2 linked regions of the Pelodiscus sinensis genome follow. The protein of the gene in region 2 interacts with the protein of the main gene of each other region in a pairwise test. Links are inferred from orthologs where the notes say so. Each region holds a gene or a part of one and is shown on either strand. Other genes may lie near its edges. The genes, in order: COPB2 and COPB1.

Region 1 (9,894 bases), on a different chromosome or scaffold from region 2:
AAAGGATGTGGACACATTGGAGAGAATCCAGTGGAGGACAACCAAAATGATTAGGAGGCTGAGGCATATGACTTATGAGGAGAGGCTGAGGGATCTGGGCTTATTTAGTCTACAAAAGAAAAGAGTGAGGGGGGATTTGATAGCAGCCTTCAACTACCTGAAGGGTAGTTCCAAAGACAATGGAGAGAGGCTATTCTCAGAAGTGACGGATGACAGAACAAGGAGCAATGGTCTCAAGTTGCAGTGTGGAAGGTCTAGGTTGGATATTAGGAAAAACTATTTCATTAGGTGGGTGGAGCAGCACTGGAATGGGATACTTAGGAAGGTGCTGGAATCTCCATCCCTAGAGGTTTTTAAGTCCCAGCTTAACAAAGCTCTGGCTGGGAGGATTTAGTTGGGATTCATTCTGCTTTTAAAAGGGGGTTGGACTCAACCTCCTAAGATCTCTTCTAACCCTATGATTCTAAGGCCTTTAAAAAAAACCTGATAAAATACAGAAGTCAATGTTCATACAGTCATGGAACCACAGATTATACTGGAAGAAACCTCGAGAGGTCAAGTCTAGGCCATGCCTGACAAACGTTTGTCTATTGTGCTCTTAAGAATCTTCAGTTACAGGTTTTCCACAATCTGGCAATTTATGCCTATGCTTAACCACCCTGAGAGTTCAGAAGTTTTTCCTAATGTCCCTTACTGCAATTTAAGATTTCTTTTAAAGGAGCACCACAAAGTACACCTCCCATTATACCCTGATTCTGCGTGTCCATCTATGAATCAATTTGTTCAAGAATTCCTCCTAAATAGTAAAAGCTAGAATCACCACAATTTGTTTGCAGCTTCCTTTCATCAAAACTTAAAGCAAGGACAGGGTTTTATTGTGCCAAGACAATGGGATGTGCATGGAATGCGACTGTTTGTGAAACACAAAGTGAGGAGGTGTGATAGCGAGAGTTATACTTACTAGTGACCAGAAGGGGATAAGTAAGCACCCCAGCTCCGGGGAGCAGCTGTTGGCTGGCAGCACAGCTCAATTATCCCTGGGGAGCAGCCACCAGATGCCTCTACCCCCTCCCCTGGGCCTGCTCACATCTCCCAACTCCCTGCTCTGATTCCTGCACCCCTTACACCTCAACTCCCCTACTCTGAAGGACCTGAGGAATGACAGGTAAGTCTTCTAGTAGAACTATAAAATAAATAATAATTCCTCAGTTGAAACATGCTAATTTAGTATGTAGAAGAGTACAAACAAGTCATCATCTGTATGAAATTTTAAGTTGTACTAGGGCTGTCAATTAATTGCAGTTTTGACCACTCAGTTAAGAACAGCATCCAAAATGAAATTAAGTATTTTTGGAGGTCTTCAATGACATTGACTTCAGTTACAACACAAAATGCAGAGTACAGTGCTCATCTTATAATTCAATTAATATATTTGCACTAATAGTATTTTTCAATTCACTACATAAAAATCACTTTAGTAGTCTCTATATTGTGAAAGCACAACTTATAATTTTTTTTGTTACAAAACTGCACTCAAAAATAAACAGTGTAAAACTTTAGCACCTACAAATACATTCAGTTCCATTGCTTATTCAGCCAACTCTTAAGACATACACATTTGTTTATATTTAATGGAGATAATGCTACCCACTTCTTAATTACTAGCCAATTAGCCTGTCATCAGATGGGATTTTCAGGTCTCTCCTCCGCTTTGGTCTTCTCCCCTGAGCCTCCGGTCTCTGTCTCTCTTGGTCTCTCTCCCCTCCTCCTACTGCCTCCCCCTCTCTCTCTCAGCTCTCCTCCGCCTCCTGCCTCTGTCTCTTTCTTTCTCTTCTCCCCTCCTGCCTCTCACTCTCCCTTTTCTCTTCTCCTGCCTCTCTCCCCGCTCCCCTTCCCTTCCCGCCGTGGTGTTTGGCTGAGTGCTGCCCACTCAGCTGGGACACCATGGGGGGGGGGGGGGCGGGGAGGAGGTCAGGCAGTGACGTACACGGCCAGGGGGCGGGGCCGTGTACATCACCGCCCCGCCCCCCCTTTCCCCTCCCACCGTGGCACTCAACTGAGTGCTGCATGCTCAGCCAGGCTGCTGTGGGGGAGCCAGCGGTGCAAGCGGCCATTTGGGCTTTCCCACGGTGGCTCGACTGAGCACGCAGCACTCAGCCGAGCGCCACAGCTGGAGAGGAAGGGGGTCGGTTCGGTGACGTACACGGCTCCGCCCCCTGGCCGTGTATGTCACCACCCACCTCTTTCCCCTCCCACCGTGGCACTCGGCTGAGTGCTACGCCACGGAGCTGGGCAGCGGCAGGGGAGCAAGCGATGCTGCATGGGGAGCACGGACCCCAAACGGCCGCTTGCCGCTGCTTGATCCCCCGCCGCGGGCCAGCTGAGTGGCACAGCACTCAGTCGAACACCACAGCAGGAGAGGAATGGGGGCAGGGAGGTGATGTACATGGCTGGGGCGGGGCCATGTACGTCATCGTTACAGACACTGGGCTACTATATATATCTGACAAGGGAAGAACAGGTATCAAAAGTAGAAAGTAAACATGTGGTCTCACTTTCAGGTGACATGTTAACAGGTAAAATTATCCCTGGAAGTGTAAATGAACAAGTTTGAGTGATTTGCTGAACATGAAGGAGGACAGGCCAGATTCAGCCCACCCAGCCATTAATCCAGCCCATAGCTCACCCTGCCCCACCACTCCACACATGCTAATCAGACCTGGAGGGCGGGAAAGCACGTGACATTTCCTCCCCCACCAGGGCGTGCAGCGCCAGAGGAAACACCAGCTGTTCAAAACAGCTGATGGTTTCTTTTAGGTGCTGTGCACCCCAGCTGGTTGGGGACAGTAGACATTGTTCAATCCCACAACCCATTAAGGAGCATACACAGCCTTCCTCCCCTCACCCGCAGGCAGTGCCTAAAGTACCTCTTCCACCCAAGGCCCATTTCTTCCATCTAAGGCCCCGCCCCCTGGACCTGGCCTGCAGCCACTACCAACAATGGTGAAGTGGTACTCCTACAAAAATTACTGCCCACCACTGGAGTAGCTCTACATTAGTTTATTTTTGAATGCAGTTTTTTTGTACATTATTCTAATTTCATGATAAATTCAACTTTCATGATCAAGAGATTGCACTACAACACTTAATGGGAACTGAATAAATATTTTTTTAACAGAGCAAAATCATGTAATAAAAATAAAGTGAGCACTTTTCTATTCTATTTTGTAACAGAAGTCATATTTGCAAACGTGCAGAAAGTAGCAAACATGCCAACTAAACAAATGGCCTTACCCGTCACTAACACCCAACGTTTAATCGCTTGACAGCGCTAATTGTACTGGCTCCCTTCGGCCTTTCACGCAACCTGCTGCAAAACCAGCCCAATAGCGAGATGGGCTGGGCTGATGCACCTCCTGGGACATCGCTGAGCAACCCCGGGGCGCGCGTTCTGAACCCTGAAGCCCGGCCCGCGGCCTCGGGGACAGCGCCGGCCTGCAGGAGCGGGAGCGCCCCGGCCCCCGACAGCCCCCCGGCGAGGGATCAGCTCTAGACACCCCGCGGGCAGCTCCCCTCGCCCCCCGCCGCGGACTCACCATGGCTCCTCCGCCCCCAACCCGGCAGCAGCTGAGACGTCGCTCTCCGACTCCAACTCAGTTGAACTACGTGGAGCTTCCGGCCCTACAGGTCTCGCGAGATAAGGGATAAAAGCGAGAACGCCGTACACAAGCGCTTCCGCATCTGAAACATCGCGAGGACGAGACTTCCTGTCCCCACGGTTCAGGACCAACGGAGACCAAAGTAGGCCACGGCACCAGCTTCCCTCAGAGGTGCTGTCATCAAGCCTTAGGAGCGGGGCCTGCCTGATTGAATTGCAGTCCATATGTGCCGTAATGCATCCTGGGACACGTAGTCATTGCACAGCGAAGTGAGACCAGCGGCCGTGGGCAGGTGCGCCGCGGCGCATGCTGGGAATTGTAGTTTCTATGCGGGGGTCTCCAAAGCGTCCCTTCTTCATCCCAGTTACAGAAGCGGGGGCATCGAGCCGCCGGCAGGGGACTGTTCACTTCGTGGCCGTGACCCCCGCCCAAGCGCAGAGCCTCGCACTGATGCTCCCCGCAGTTCTCTGGACATTAGCCTAGGGCAAGATGAGGGGCAAAGGGCCATTGGGTCAGACCAAAGGTCCATCTAGCCAAGCATCCGGTCTGCCAGCAGTGGCCAATAATGCCAGGTGCTCCAGAATATAATAGAGAGGCAGCCCTGTTAATCTGATCTTGCAAAAACAAAAGGAAAAACTATGCAGCACTTTAAAGACTAACAAGATGGTTTAATAGGTGATGAGCTTTTGTGGGCCAGATCCACTTCCTCAGATCATATTCTGGAAGAGAATTGGCATGACCATATATACCAAAGGAATACAATGAAAAAGCAAACACATTATTAAACTGACATCAGATTTAGTACAGAAGGTGGGGTGAGGAAGAGGGACGGAGGGAATAGCTATTATGAATCAATGTTAACTCTGGAGACACAGATCCACAGTTTAAGAACTGCAAAACTAAGCATCTCTGATGGTATCTTCTGGACTGAGCACTGAGTCTTATTGGGTACACTGAAAGATTAACCTAAATAATCTATACAGAACCTTCTGGAATCCCATAAGATTGGGTCCATAATCCATGAACTATTGGAATTCATTTACAAAACTTTTCTTAAACACTAGGGCTGTGTCTACACTGGCGCGATCTTGTGCAAAAGCGGCCGCTCTTGCGCAAAAACTTTCTGCCTGTTTACATTGGCCGTGTATTCTTGCGCAAGTAAACTGACGGTCTAATGTATGAAATCAGGGCTTCTTGCCCCAGAACTCTGATGTTCCCACTCAGGAATAAGCCCTTTTGCGCAACTGTTCTTGCGCAAGAGGCCAGTGTAGATAGGCAACATGAATTTCTTGCGCAAGAAAGCCCTATGGTTAAAATGGCCATCAGAACTTTCTTGCATCTCTTGCGCAAAAGCACATACCAGTGTAGATGCTCTCTTCTGGAAGAGTTTTTGCAGAAGAACTCTTCCGCAAAAGAGTTTTTGTGCAAGATCATGCCAGTGTAGACGTAGCCTACATTAATATATTGTTTCATTGTATAAAATTAGAATTTATAATCCCTATTCCATGTTGATATATCTTTGAGCTATAATGTAAATGAAACTATCTTTAGATACATTTTTCCTCAAAAAAAATTGTCAAAAAATCTGATTAAATAAAAATATCTGATTTCTTCTTTTTTTTAATTTGTTGATTTTTATCTACCCTGCTTCTTAGTCACTTGTCACTTTGGTTGTCTTGGTAACTTTCCACTGCTCCAAACCCCCAGCCTCCTGGTTTCCCAACTCTCATACCCTTCTTACTCTAACCATTTTGATCAGTTGTCAAGCTGTAACAATGACTCATCATTGTTCTTGGTATTGCAGAGATTTGACAACCCCATCAGCTCATAGAGGGTACACAGAAGGATATTGCCAATACAGCAGTTTTCATAGTAGTATAATGTCAAATAGAATTAATAAGTTATGCATATGTTTCTCGAATACATCAGAAACTAGAAGGACAATAAAAACCCAGGCCAATTCACAATTCAGGAGAGCTGATATATAGTATTGTAAACCTTGAAATGCTTATAAGTCATGAGAGCAGGAGAAACTGAAGAAAGAGAGCTAACCAAAAACATCAGTGTTGGAGAAAGAAGTGGAAGAGTGTTCTAAGGAGCATATGAGCATACACGAGATTTGTTTTTATCTTTGGGGAACTTAAGATCTTGCACAGAGAGGGAAGAAGACTTAAATAGTGAGTCGGAAGCAGCTGGTGGTTGTTGGATTGCCCATCCTCCTACTCTCCCCTAACCTCGGAGTTTCCACCACACTCAACTTATGTAGTCATATTTCCCATAATTGGAGATATGGTAGGAGTCACCACAACTGGAGTGCAATAGCCTCACAAAGGGAAAACTACCTTATAGCCATAATATCTCCCCTGCCAGATGAGTGAGTGTAGGATTCCATGGAATACAATATGATGGGGACTAATCTGGCTACAACTACTCAAGAGAGAGATCTTGGAATCATTAATAGTCAAAACTGCAAATAGAATGTTAGGAATCATAAAACCAGGGATAGAGAATGAGACAGAGAACATCTTATTGCCTCCATATAAAATCATGGTACTCATATCTTGAATACTGCATACAGATGTGGTCGCCTCAGCTCAAAAAATATATTGGAAAAGGTTCAGAAAAGGGCAACACAAATGATTAGAGGCTTGGAACATGTCCCATTTGAAAAGAGATTAAAAAGACTTGGACTTTTCAGCTTAGAAAAAAGGAGACTAAGGGTACATCTACACTGTAACACTATTTCGAAATAACCAGCTCTGTTACTAAATAACTTAGTCCGCATCTACACAGCAGGCAGTTATTTCGAAATAATGTCAAAATACTGTTAAGCTGGAGGACTTCTTACTCTGATTTCTGCAACCCTCATTGTACGAGGAGTAAGGGAAGTCGGAGAAAGAGTGCACTATTTCCAAATAAATGCTGTGAGGACTTTCCCTATTTCAAAATAAGCTATTTTGAAATAAGATACGCAATTGATGTAACTCAACATGCATAGCTTATTTCAAGTTTAGCCATGCAGTGTTGATACACTCCAAGAGGGGATATGATAGAAGTCTATAAAATCATGACTGCTGTGGAAAAAGTGAATAAGGAAAAGGTACTTATTCCCACAATATAAGAACTAGGGGGTCACCAAATAAAATTAATAGGCAGCAGGTTTAAAACAAACAAAAGGAACTTTTTCTTCACTCAGCACACAGTCAACTTGTGGAATTCCTTGCCAGAGGATGTGGTGAAGGCCAGGACTTTAACAGGGTTCAAAAAAGAGCTTAATAGATTCATGGAGGTTAGGTCCATCAATCGCTATTAGCCAGGATGGGTAGGAATGATGTCCCTAGTCTCTGTTTGCCTGGAAATGGGTAACAGGAGAAGGCTCATGTGCAGATTATCTGTTGTGTTCTCTCCCTCTGGGGTATGTGGCATTGGCCACTACTGGCTGACAGGAAACTGGGCTAGATGGACCTTTAGTCTGACCCAGTATGGCCATTCTTATGTTCTTATATTTTTGTGTTCTTAATACTTCTGGGGGAATGTTGAATAAAAAACTAAACATTCTGCACCCAATATTTTAAAGTTCTGCATATTTTATTTGTTCAAATGATACAATATAATCATGTCAGATTCAATTATTTTGGTAATTATTTCAAAATACCTATGAGCAAGTATGTCTAGCAATATAGAGAACAAAAAAATCCAGGAAATATTCGTCAAATTACTTACTAGGAATATTAATACAGAACTTTGAGTAATAATTAATTTAAATTACAAAATAGACATGTATTTTCTGCACTCCTCAGAAGCCAGTGCAAAGACTTGGGGGAACAGGAGGAACAGAGAAGCTGAGAGAGATGGAAGTAGTGGAAAGGAGTCTGAGTGTGAACTTGGAGGGCAGTTGGATGTAGGAGGGAGAAGTATGGTACTTTGGGGGATAGGAAGAGATTATTAGGGAGTTAGGGAGCCTCCCCCCATGCAGACCCCTACCCTTCCCCATTTATACAGGAACCTGTTGCTGTGTGTCCCTGCATCACCATCCCTCACCATATTTCCCTGCACTCTGACTACAATTCAGCTCCTGGCTTTATGCTGTCACTAACTCCTGTGCCCTTCCTGCAAAAAGTCCAGTGGTTCCTTTCCTGCTCTTATCCTGAGACATTCCTAGAAGTTTCTCTCCCTGTGGCCCCTAGATGGGGGAAATAGGGATTCTCTGACTACGTCTATACTGCAGCTTTCTTCTGCAAAAGCTTATGCAAATGAAGCGCAGATTAGAATATCGCCGTGCTTCATTTGCATAATTAATTAGCAGCCATTTTTGTGCAAGAGGCTTTTGTGCAAAAAGGAGCAGTGTAGATGGCTCCTTTTTGTGCAAAACCCCCCTCTTGCGCAAGAGCCGTTTTTCCTCATTTGTTCAGGAAATGAGAAAAGAAAGTGTCAGTATAGATGTAGGCTGTGTCTACACTGCACCCCTGATTTTAAGAGGAATAAGGGATCTTTCGGAAAAGGCTTTATTTTCTGAAAGATCCCCGTCTAGACTGGCGCTTTTTTCCGGCAAAGCCCCGAGCTGGAAAAAAGCAGCAGCCATGTTTATACAAATGAAGCGGAGGATATTTAAATCCCCGCTTCATTTGCAATAACGATGTGTCTAATCTGCATCCCTTTTCCGGAAAAGGGGTGCAGTGTAGACACAGCCGTAGTGTCTATGTGCTGTCCCTAACTTCAGTGACTCTGCAGCTCCCATTGGCTGGGAACTGTGTCCAATGGGAGCTGCAGAGATAGTGCTTGTACGCAGAGACTGCACATAGATCTACCACCACTACCCAAAGTAGGGTTGACCACTTCCAGGAGTGACATGGGGTTAGGGAAGGCACAGAGCCTGTCCTAGCCTTGCACTGCCACCAACTGGGATTTGGATCTGCTTGAGGTAAACATCACCCAGATTCCACAACTTGACACCCACACACATACTCCCTATCCCCATGCACCAGCCCTGAGGCCCCTCATTCACCCAAACTCACTCCCAGTGCCCATGCGCCTCACCCCCTCCTACAACCTAATCCTTTGCCTCAGACTAAGCCCAGAGCTCCCTCACATACTCCAAACCCTTTGGCTCCAGCCCAGAGCCTGCACTCCCTCCCACACCTCAACCCACTGCCCCCATTCCAGTGAAAGTGAGTGGGGGAGAGCGAGCAAGCGATGGAAGAAGGGGCATGGACTAAGCAGAGGCCAGGGCTTTAGAGAAGGAGCAGGGTATGGTCTTGCCTCAGGGAAAGGGCAGGCAAGGGTGCTTGAGTTTGTGTGATTATGTACCATTGGCAACCCTAGCTGGTAACTCTCTTTTTTGGCATGACAGCAGGTTCTGGTGGACAAAAGGTATAATTGCAGTGCCTTCCTAGAAGAACGGTTTTGGGGGGGAAAGGAGTGGGGAATTCTGCACATGTGAAGTGCAGCAGAACAAAATTCCCCCAGAAATAGTGGAATGGAGAGAGGTAGAACTTTTTAGCAAAGATGATAAAAGAACTGTGAATGTGTAGTAGGGGAAGCCAATGTGGTCACTAGTCTTCTGCCAGAGAGGCTTCATGGTCTGAAAACAAAAAGTGAAGAAAATGAATATTAGCAATGATCCAGGAGGAGGACTGGCAAGGCAGATTATGCCTAAAAAGAGCAGGACAACAAAGTTAATAAGAAATAATATGTATAACTTTGGTTATGATGTGTTACAGGACATTGGCCTTATTAAAAATGCACAGAAATACATTAACCGGGCAGTATTACATTGCCGTTTAAATGAGCACAACAAATTAACTGCATGGTATGGACTGGTCTAGGTTTTCTGGTCAGTTTACTTTTTCTTAAATACTTGATGGCACACCTGATCTTCTTTACACATCAAATCCTACAACATTAAAACAATTAATAAGTATGTAGTGTTGTGAACTATGTTTCCTATATTCAGTTGCTCCCCTCAAAAAAGCCACCGAAAGACCAGCTGAGCCACAACATTAAAAAAGGGGGTTGTTTTGTGCTGGTTTCATTTACTAGATTTTGACATTTGTACTAAATTTTAAAAAGTAATTCATGATTGTATGCATTGAAATGTACTGAAATTTATTTAAAGTGGTGGGATTTTATACACTTAGGCTATGTCTACACTGGCGGGTTCTTGTGCACGGCTGTGGGGGCGCCTCTGCCCCTCTTGCTGGGTCAGGGCAGGCTGCACCAGGAGGTGCCGAGGGTG
Region 2 (9,512 bases):
ATTCCCGGACATGGAAAATCGGGAACCTTGCGGTTAGGTGCAAGAAGGCCTGGTTCCTCCTGTTTCCTTAATCCAAAATGTCAGTTAGCTGGGTCTTGCAGTTTTGGACCTATTTTAGATTTCAGGAGGCACTGAGTCATGCACCCCATCTGTGCACTGATCCAACTGAAGATTTTACCACAAGCTCTTTCATACTTTCTAAAAAGATATTAAGGTTATTTAATTTCTAGAAGATAATTAACCCTTACATATCACACTACACTACTGTTAAACCCAGCTCTTACAGGATAAGTCAAGTCCTGCAGGCCTTGCATTACTGGCATTACTATTAAAATATAGAAAAAGGGATAGGATAGGAAAAGATATAGCTGGGCAGGCTACAAAATTTAAAATGGCTATACCTTGGTTACTTCCTTTACTTCCTGAAACAAGAAGCTGTCCCTATTGTCTTCTATGCACTTATTAGGCATTTCGTGTTTGGTCATACTGTTTTTCCACCAGGTCTTGTGTTTTTGGACATTTTTGTTATTCTAGAAATGCCTTATACACCTCCTGCTATGCTCTTGCCCCTTTATCCTTTGGTCTTTTACCTGGTCTGCCTTTCATTTCCTTCTGGACCTTGGAACAAGCATACCATTACTTCCCTATTTATCATGTCTGTCCTTTTGAAACAAACTATGACAATCCATACCAATTTTTCAATGGCAAGACTTATTCCAAGTCTCCCTGCTGCCAATTAAATACTTGACCTTATGTACTAACATTCCCGTTCTTTCTGTGTATTCCTTGTGCTCTTTGCATTTGTGTATCAACATGCCAGATGTTGAGTGGATTCCCCCACCATTTTCTCTCTTGTTGCATTTCCCTTTTGCCCCTCCCCCCCAACTCGTCTTCTGTTAAGGTCACCTGCTGGTTTTTTTTTTTAACCTACCATCAGGCTTTTGTCACCTGCTCACTTTTGAACACTGCTGAAAGCCCTCCTTGATAGGTTCATGACTCTGTGTACAAAGATGCTCTTCCTCTTTTGGGGCAAGTTAACCCCATTTCTTCTCAGCAGTTTTCCTTCCCAGAATAGAATCCTATGCTTGAGGAAGCCAAAGCCCTACCATCAACACCATCTGTGTGGCCACATTTTCATCTCCAGGATGCCAGTAGGAGCCTCGCAGGCACACATAAGAGGGAAAGTGGCTCATAAGGGAAATCATGCGCTACTAATCTACTAGATAAACTTAAACAACAAATAGTCTGGTAGCACTTTAAAGACTAACAAAACATGTAGATGGTATCATGAGCTTTTGTGCGCACAGCCCACTTCTTCAGATGACCAGCATATACTAGAGTTCTTTGAGGGGGTCAACAAACATGTGGACAAGGGGGATCCAGTGGATATAGTGTACTTAGATTTCCAGAAAGCCTTTGACAAGGTCCCTCACCAAAGGCTCTTAAGTAAAGTGAGTTGTCATGGGATAAGAGGGAAGATCCTGTCATGGACTGATAACTGTTTAAAAGAGAGGAATCAAAGGGTAGGAATAAATGGTAAGTTTTCAGAGTGAAGAGAAGTAGCTAGTGGGGTTCCCTAAGGGTCTATCCTGGGACCAATCCTATTCAACTTATTTATAAATGATCTAGAGAAAGGGAAACAAAATACAGGACTATGTAGCACTTTAAAGACTAACAAGATGGTTTATTAAATGATGAGCTTTCGTGGGCCAGACCCACTTCCTCAGATCAAATAGTGGAAGAAAATAGTCACAACCATATATACCAAAGGATATAAAATGAACACATTTTTTTAATTGTATCCTTTGGTATATATGGTTGTGACTATTTTCTTCCACTATTTGATTTGAGGAAGTGGGTCTGGCCCACGAAAGCTCATCATCTAATAAACCATCTTGTTAGTCTTTAAAGTGCTACATCGTCCTGTATTTTGTTTTAGCTACACCAGACTAACACGGCTACATTTCTATCACTAGAGAAAGGGGTAAATGGTGACATGGCAAAATTTGCACATGATATCAAAAGTCTCAAGATAGTTAAGACCAAAGCAGACTGTGAAGAGCTTCAAAAAGATCTCACCAAAGTAAATGACTGGGCAACAAAATGGCAAATTAAATTTCATGTTGATAAATGTGAAGTAATGCACATTGGAAAAAATAATCCCAACTATACATACAATATGATGGGGACTCATTTAGTTACAGCTACTCAAGAGAGATAGCTTGGAGTCATTGTGGCATGAGAGGGCAGTGCCCAGCAGCTGGAGGGAGCTGGGATGAGCCGAGGCTTCCCCGGACCAATGGATGGAGGCAGGGTGGTGGTGGGAGAAGGGGGGGACAGGGATTGCTGGGACTAAGAACTGGGGAGGAGAGAGAGAGGAGAAAGCCTGAGATTGGTTGCGAGAGGGCAGTGTGGACTGGAGTGGCTGTCAGGCCAGCTGAGTCTAGGGCAAGGAATCAGATGGGCCCAGGCTGGGAGCCAGGATGGTGTGTGTTAGGGTAGTTTTGACAGGAAGGAGGGAAGGAGATAAATGGAACAAGCTGGGCAGGACTCCTGGGAGTGGTCCGAGTATGTTGGGCAGGCTGGAATCAGAGAGGCGGGTGGGGGGATCCTGCTGGGTGTGCTGGGCACTGACTGTGTAATCGCCTCATGGGGAAGTGTCAGTGGAGCCTGAATCTCCTATTCCTTTGCCTCACAGGGACTTATTGAGGAGCTGTCAGGCGCTATCCTTACCAACTCCCTCACTACTGTGAGCAGGCTCAGGTACTAAGCCCTTCGCAACTGGCTCCCTAACCACGGTGCTGCCCCTCCCACTCTGAGGCTCCCTCCCAAGCATGGTTTCTCCAGCAGAAGGGGCAGGAAGGTTCCTTGTTTTCTGCCTGAACTCTTCTTTTTGCTCCAATAATGCTATGGGGTTCTTGAGGAGAGGATCCCTCCCAGGTCAGATACAGGAGAACAGCAGAGTCAGGCCATTGTCTGTCTGGGAAGCCTTCACATCCCCTGTGTCAGTGCCTCAGTTTCCATTTTTGCCTGCCTGGGCCTGTTCCCTGTGGTTTCACATCCAGGTTGGTGCCAGTCCCACTCCTGCACTGCAGTCTAGTATCAACACCTCTCTCTTGCCAGCATCATAAATCCTGCCCTGGAGCCAGAGCTGGAGATGTACTTCCTGAGAGCTGCCCTGCATGCCGTCTTCACCTCAGGCAGGACACCTCCTAAGGGGAGAGAGATCTTCAGCTCCTCCCTGCCAGGATCAGAAGTGACCTTTGGTCCCTGCTCCCTTGATTGGCTGGAGCTCCAGAGCTAGGGGTTGGTGTGCAGAGATGGAAGAAGATGCAGTGTTGGATCCTTCCCTCGAGGGGCATCATGTTACCCTCCCAGGAGGACTTCTTCCTTCCTTCCTTACATAGCAGGCTATGTTTTGCCTAGGTGCCATCCATAGCAGCTTGGGTCTTCCCTACTTTGTTACCTACGAGGCCCTCCACAGATTCCTCCTAAGGTCATGGATTGAGGAGCCAGCTGGCACCCTGCCCTGAACCCTTGTTAATTGCCTGCATTGGGATCTGAATGAGCCAGGCCAGTACTTTATAGAGACCCACATCCTGTGGCAGGTGTAACCCAAGTTTCCCGAACTCTGACCCATAGCTCTCCTTTGCTTTGCAGAGTCTGAACCTGAATGCCAGGCTGGGGAACCTGCTGGCGAAGTCCTCGGCACAGACAGACCCTGTGGTAAGGCAGAGAGCAATTTTACCTTAACTCTGAGGAAGACTGGCAAGGAAAGACTGGAGGATCTATTTCCCACTTTGTCCTCCTAGTTCAGCCCCCAGTGGACTGTCCTATGTCAGGCAATTGGTGCAATGCACGTGTTTCACGCTCCTCGTTCCTTAGCCTCATCTCTGGGACTTCCCCTCTCTGGCTGCTCTGACCCAAGACTGTCTTTTGAGCTGGGGGTGGGAGTGGAGCACAGATGTACTGAAATCATTGGAAACAGTGAGCGGGGCTGGACAAAGGGAGGGACATTCCTAGGCCAGCTTGGACAACTAGGTCCCAGCTAGGGTTGCCAGGTGTCTGGTACTGAACCGAACAGTTCAGTATTTTCGCCTCCTGTCCGGTAAAAAAATCCAGAAAATACCGGACACCTGAAATGTCCTGTACTTTCTGATTTTTTTCCCGGCTAGGAGGCGAAAATCCCAGGCTATCCAGCTTAATACAGAGAGGTGCTTACCGGATTCTGCAGGTGAACTGTTCAGCCTGACACAGGGAGGCAAGATGGTGAGCGGCCACCATCAGCCTGTTAAGGCCAAAAAGCCTCACCATGCATTTCTTAAAGGGGCCACACTCTGTTTTTTTGTTTTTTGCTTAACAACTCTCAGGGGCCTTTTTTTGGTTCAGTATTTTTTCCAAAACCAGCTGGCAACTGTAGTGCCAGCCTGGCTCAGGCACAGGGCTCGCTCCTCTGCTACAGCCTCACAGCTCTGGGCATGGAGCAGGAGCGATGCAGTGAGAGGGGAGCGATGCAGTGAGTGATGCAACTCCTGGGGCAGGGAGGGGAACAGCCATAGGGAAGGGAAGTCACTGCCCAGATGAAGTGGCTGGGGCTACAGTCAAGCCCAGCAGTGCTGCAATGGGGCAGCTGTGGTGACACAATTGGTGACCGATCAATTTTTCTATCAGTAGTAGGTACCACCAGACATCCTCTTTTTGCTTACTTAGCAAATTCTGTCAGCCAAGATCCCCATCTATCAGCCTCTGCTATTTGCCATGGGTTCAAGACTGCCCTTCACATCCTCTGGTCCAAGACTCCCCTTCTGATTTTTCTTCCCCAGGCAGGCCAGTTCGTCCATTGTCACTATATCTTGCTTGATCCCAGGGCCTGCCCACAACATTTTGGGACCTGAAGCAGGACTCTCAAATGATGCCCCGATGCCCCCTCGCTTGGGCCAAAACTTTGAAAGGTCTCAATTCTGCCTTCTTCCTGCTCTACTCTGCCCATGGTACTGCAGACAGAATACACATGCATCAGCAGCAAACACAATTTTCTACATTCTAGGTCCTAGTGGTGCCCCCTCACAGTCTGGCACTTGAGGCAGCCACCTCAGTTCGCCTCATGGTAAGGCCAGCACTGCATGATCCCCCCCAGACAAGTACATTTCTGCCCCCTACTCAGACCCTGCTCACCCACCGGCTGCGACGTGGCCCCTTTGCAAACTCTCTAAAGAGCAAGCAAGGGCACGTGCCAGGGAACCTGCTCAGTTCGGATGCGCATGCTCAGTACCCTCCTAAGCAGGGCCTTCGGGGCGGGCGCTCGGAGTCGCAGCGTTGGTGTGAGTTGGAGCCACGCCCCCCGCGCTCTGATGAGGACACCCGGGGGCAGTGACGTGGCTGCTCAGCTAGTGCCTGCCTGGAGACCGCGGCTGGAGGTCGCGGTCACGTGGTGTGAGAGCCGCGCATGCGCGGGGCTGTATTCCCCCCTCCCTCCCCCCACACACACGCACCGGAACCAGGCGACTTTGTGCCTTGCTGCGCGCGGAGGAGGCGTGTCCTGCTGCGGCCGCCGTAGTACCGATGTGGCCTGTCGCGGGGAGTGGTTCCACGTCAGCCACCGCCGAACGGGCAGAGACGGGGCTCCGGGGGTCCCGCCGCGGGCAGCACTGGAGGCAGGTACAGCGCTTCCAGGGGCTCGGGGCGTGCTGCGGGCCGTGGTCGGAGAGCGGCCCCCGCCCCCTTCCGGAGCCGGCGGCCTCGCTCCGCTCTGCCGGGGAGTCGGGCCAACGCCTGGCCGCGGGTGCGAGGGCGGGTAACCGGCGCGGCCCCCGCGCAAGGGGGTAGCGCGCCACGGAGCCGGGCCCTGCGAGGTCTGCTCGCGCCCCGGCTTGCTGAGGCAGCGAGGTTTAACCGTCCTGAGATTCGTTTTGCCCCTGTGGGCCCGCAGCAGTTACCCGGGCTGCCCGCAGGATCCCACGCCGCCTGCCCCAGCGCCTCGCACGGGCCGGGGCCGAGGCTGCAGCTTTGCTACGAGTTCACCTCTGCTGGGAAGCGTCGTTCTCTTGGGGCTGAAACTCTCCGTGTCAAGTAAAATTGTGGAGAGTTTCAGCAAAGACCCACTCAGCTGGTGTGTGTGTAACTTCTGGGTTTTAAACGTGCTGCTTGTTGTGATCACGTAGCAGTATCGTTAAATCCATGGCGTTACGGTGCACACAAGGACAATGACAAGTTGTAGCTGTAGGTAGCTATAATAGAGGTTATGAAGTAAATCTTTGTTTACTATTCTTTTTAATAGTACTTTGTGTGCTATTTAAGTTCCTCATCTTGCAAACATTTGAATAACTTTGTGCAGGAGTATTCGCTTTGAAGTTAATGGCCCGTGCTTAAAATTAAGTCAATATGAATTTTCAGGTTTGGGGCCATGGTATTTTTTTTTATATATAGCCATTCTGTGGTATGTTGACATAGAGAATATTATAGTTAGGAGTGTTAGTGTGTAATTGAAGTCATGTGATTGCATCAAAATTTAGCAGTTACATGACTATTACATAGTCCCTGGGGACAGAGCTGGCAGTCAGTGCACTCTGGCCCTACTCATGGGGAGCCCCCTGCCATCCTGTGTTGCTGCCTCTCAGAAGTAGCAGTATGGGGTGGCAGATGGGAGTTGGTCTGCAAGGGGAGCTGGCTTAAAAACAGAGGCAGGAGCGTGGGACGGTATACCCTGTATGCTGCTCCACATCCCACAGAGCAATCTCTGTCCACAGCAAGCCTGGATGTGCCAGGACAGGACAGGACAGGGAGGGTGGGTGGGGGGCAAGCGACTCCACAGAGCCAGTGCTTCTGTCCTCGTCCCCATGCCCCGTTGCCTCTGTAGGAGGCAGAAAGGAGGGGCAGGCAAATCCATATGCGTATTTGGATCCTGCTTGCCCCCTTCACCCTCGGTGCTGCTGCTGGAATTAGCAGTGCAGGGGCAGGGATCCGTGGAGTCGGTGCCCACCTGCCCCCCCTTGCTGCCTCTGATACAAAGGCAGCAAGGGGGAGAGAATGCCTGTAGTCAACAGGATTAACCAATAAGCCTTGGTTTATCAGTTAATCGTGTAGTCATTTACATGTTGACATCCCTAAGTATAGTTACTATCTGAAGTGTTTCATTTTTTCATAAAAAATAGGAAAATGTGAACTAAAACATGCGCTTTAAAATTTTGAACTAATATTGTCGCTAGTTTTCATCAGGGAATAGTTACTTAGAAAAATGACAGTTTTTGAACTGATGATGTAAGCTGGAGATATAAAATCCTGTTTAACTGGTTAATTATATTGTTTAACCAGTTAACCGATTTAAAGAGGGGTGAGTGGGGGGGCCCCTGTCTGCCTCTGGGTGGAATGTCCCCTTCCCTTCCCTTCCTCCTCCTCCCCAGGCAGAGGCTGCTTCAGTCCAGTCAGAGCAGCCCCTGGCTGTAGCCTTCCCACTGCAGGCAGGGGCTGCATGGGCTGGGATGCCAGAACATCCCCTGCTTGTGGAGGTCCAGGGTACATGTCAGGCAGGGGCTGTTCTGGCATCCTGATTGGAGCAGCCCTTGCCTGTGGGGTGCACACCAAAGGCAGGGGCTGTGCTAGAGTAGTCCCCTGGCTGCAGTAGGCAGGGAGCTGCTCCACCACTGGTAAGCCTCAAATCCCTATTATAAGCAATTATAAATTTACCTTGCAATCTTGATATGTTTTAGCCTGTGTCTTCAGAGAGTGCTAAAATATGTGCAGTTGCTGAAAAACAGTTATGCAGCTCTGTAATTCTAGGGAATGGTTTAGGGCATTGGGGCTCAAGCAGAGTGCAAATACCCTGGGGGGATATGCAGGAGAGGAAAAGTCAACTCATACGAATATTTGCCTACTTTTTCAACATGATACATAAAAAGCACTAGCAATATCAGTACAAACTAAATTTTCATACGAACAATGACTTATTTATACTGCACTATATGTGATGCACCAAAACGTATTCCAATTGATTTATAATTGGATGGTAAAAATAAAAGAGCAGTTTTTTTACTAACTGTTGTGATGCTTTTGTATTTTTGTCTGATTTTTATAAGCATTTTTATGCAGTTATGAAATGTTTTATATTAGCACCCTGTTTTATATACACTAATCAACAATACTTGATTATGCTGTCTATGAAGTCTCACATGGGTCTCAAGATAGGGTAGGGGGAGCAGAACATTTGTATTAGATGCCATGTAAAAATTCTCAGCACTTGCTGCATATTTTGTTGCACTTATCATCATCATAAGCTCAAAGTTTCACATTTCTCAAAATGAGTAAGTTCCAGCAGGTGAGCTCATTGGGACACAAGATCACATGGGTAGTTGACATTGATGTAGTCCATTATCATAATTCTGATGGAGCTTTTAACTTTAGCAGACTTTCAGACTTATCACAGTACCCTTAACCATCTTGATGCTGCCTTTTCTTTGCTTTGGAGTGTTTGGAAAAGATATCCACATTGTCCTGTCTCAGAGCCTGAATCCTGATTAGCCTTCAGATCTCTTAGTTTTGAAAGAGAGCTGGACAAATTTTTGAGTGCAATTGTATGAGGGGGTTGCCTGTGATGGTAGTGGGCAGAGCTCAGTAGCCCTGGAGCTCAATTTCAATTTATTTCCTTTGTGCATAAAGCTTATCCTAAAGAGCTTCTGTTTTGTCACCAGGCTCAGGAAGCAGTTCCGGTCTCCCCAATGTATTGGGGAAGATTTTTTTAAAAAAATCTCCTAAAGCATCAGACAATGGCCATGGCTGGAGATGAGACTTGTCGGGGTGGGCTTGGGCCAGGTCTCTGCACGACATTCAGCTTTCTCTCAGATGCTTGACTAGCTGATTATTGCTCATTTACTCAGGATCTAACTGACCACTAGGTGTGAGAGCAGGAAGGAATTCTGTCTTTAAGTCAGATTGACAGTGACATGGCAGGTTGTGCTTTCCTTTGCAGCATATGGGTGCAAAACACCTACTTGGACTAGCTGGGTATATCTCACTTATATATTTCCTGCCATTAGAACATAGGATGGCTGTACTGCGTCAGACCAATGGTCCACCTAACCCACTATTCTGTCCTCTGATAGTGACCAGTGCCATGTTTTAGAAGGAATGAGCAGAACAGGTAATCATCAAATGATCCTTCCCTTGTCAGCTATTCCCAGCTTCTGGCAAAGAGAGGCTGGGGAAGGTGTTCCTGACCATTATGGCTATCATCCATGAATTTATCTAGTTCTTTTTTGAACCCTGTGATAGTCTTGGCCTTCACAACATGCTCTGGCAGTGAGCTCCATGGGTTGACTGCATTCTGTGCAGACATACTTCCTTTTGTTTGTTTTTAAATCTGCTTCCTATTAATTTCATGTGGTGATTTTTAGTTACTGTGTTACGAGTCATGATTTTATATAGACCTCTATCATATCTCTCCCTAGTTGTCTCATTTCCATGTTGAAAAGTCCCATTTTTACTGAATTCTCCTCATATGGAAGCCATTCTATACCCCT

Evidence for each region.
Region 1: the proteins of COPB1 (region 2) and COPB2 interact in a two-hybrid assay, tested with the Homo sapiens proteins (2 studies listed by BioGRID, with this or other methods). The link is inferred for Pelodiscus sinensis from reciprocal best matches to the Homo sapiens genes COPB1 and COPB2.

The regions. Positions count from the first base shown.
Region 1 is NC_134720.1:11,279,996-11,289,889, forward strand, and holds the start of COPB2 (coatomer subunit beta'), read right to left. Parts: upstream 3,752-9,894; 5' UTR 3,600-3,751; coding exon 3,597-3,599; intron 1-3,596. UniProt on the Homo sapiens protein: The coatomer is a cytosolic protein complex that binds to dilysine motifs and reversibly associates with Golgi non-clathrin-coated vesicles, which further mediate biosynthetic protein transport from the ER, via the Golgi up to the trans Golgi network.
Region 2 is NC_134714.1:109,061,051-109,070,562, reverse strand, and holds the start of COPB1 (coatomer subunit beta), read left to right. Parts: upstream 1-5,482; 5' UTR 5,483-5,654; exon of another isoform or gene 5,655-5,658; intron 5,659-9,512. UniProt on the Homo sapiens protein: The coatomer is a cytosolic protein complex that binds to dilysine motifs and reversibly associates with Golgi non-clathrin-coated vesicles, which further mediate biosynthetic protein transport from the ER, via the Golgi up to the trans Golgi network.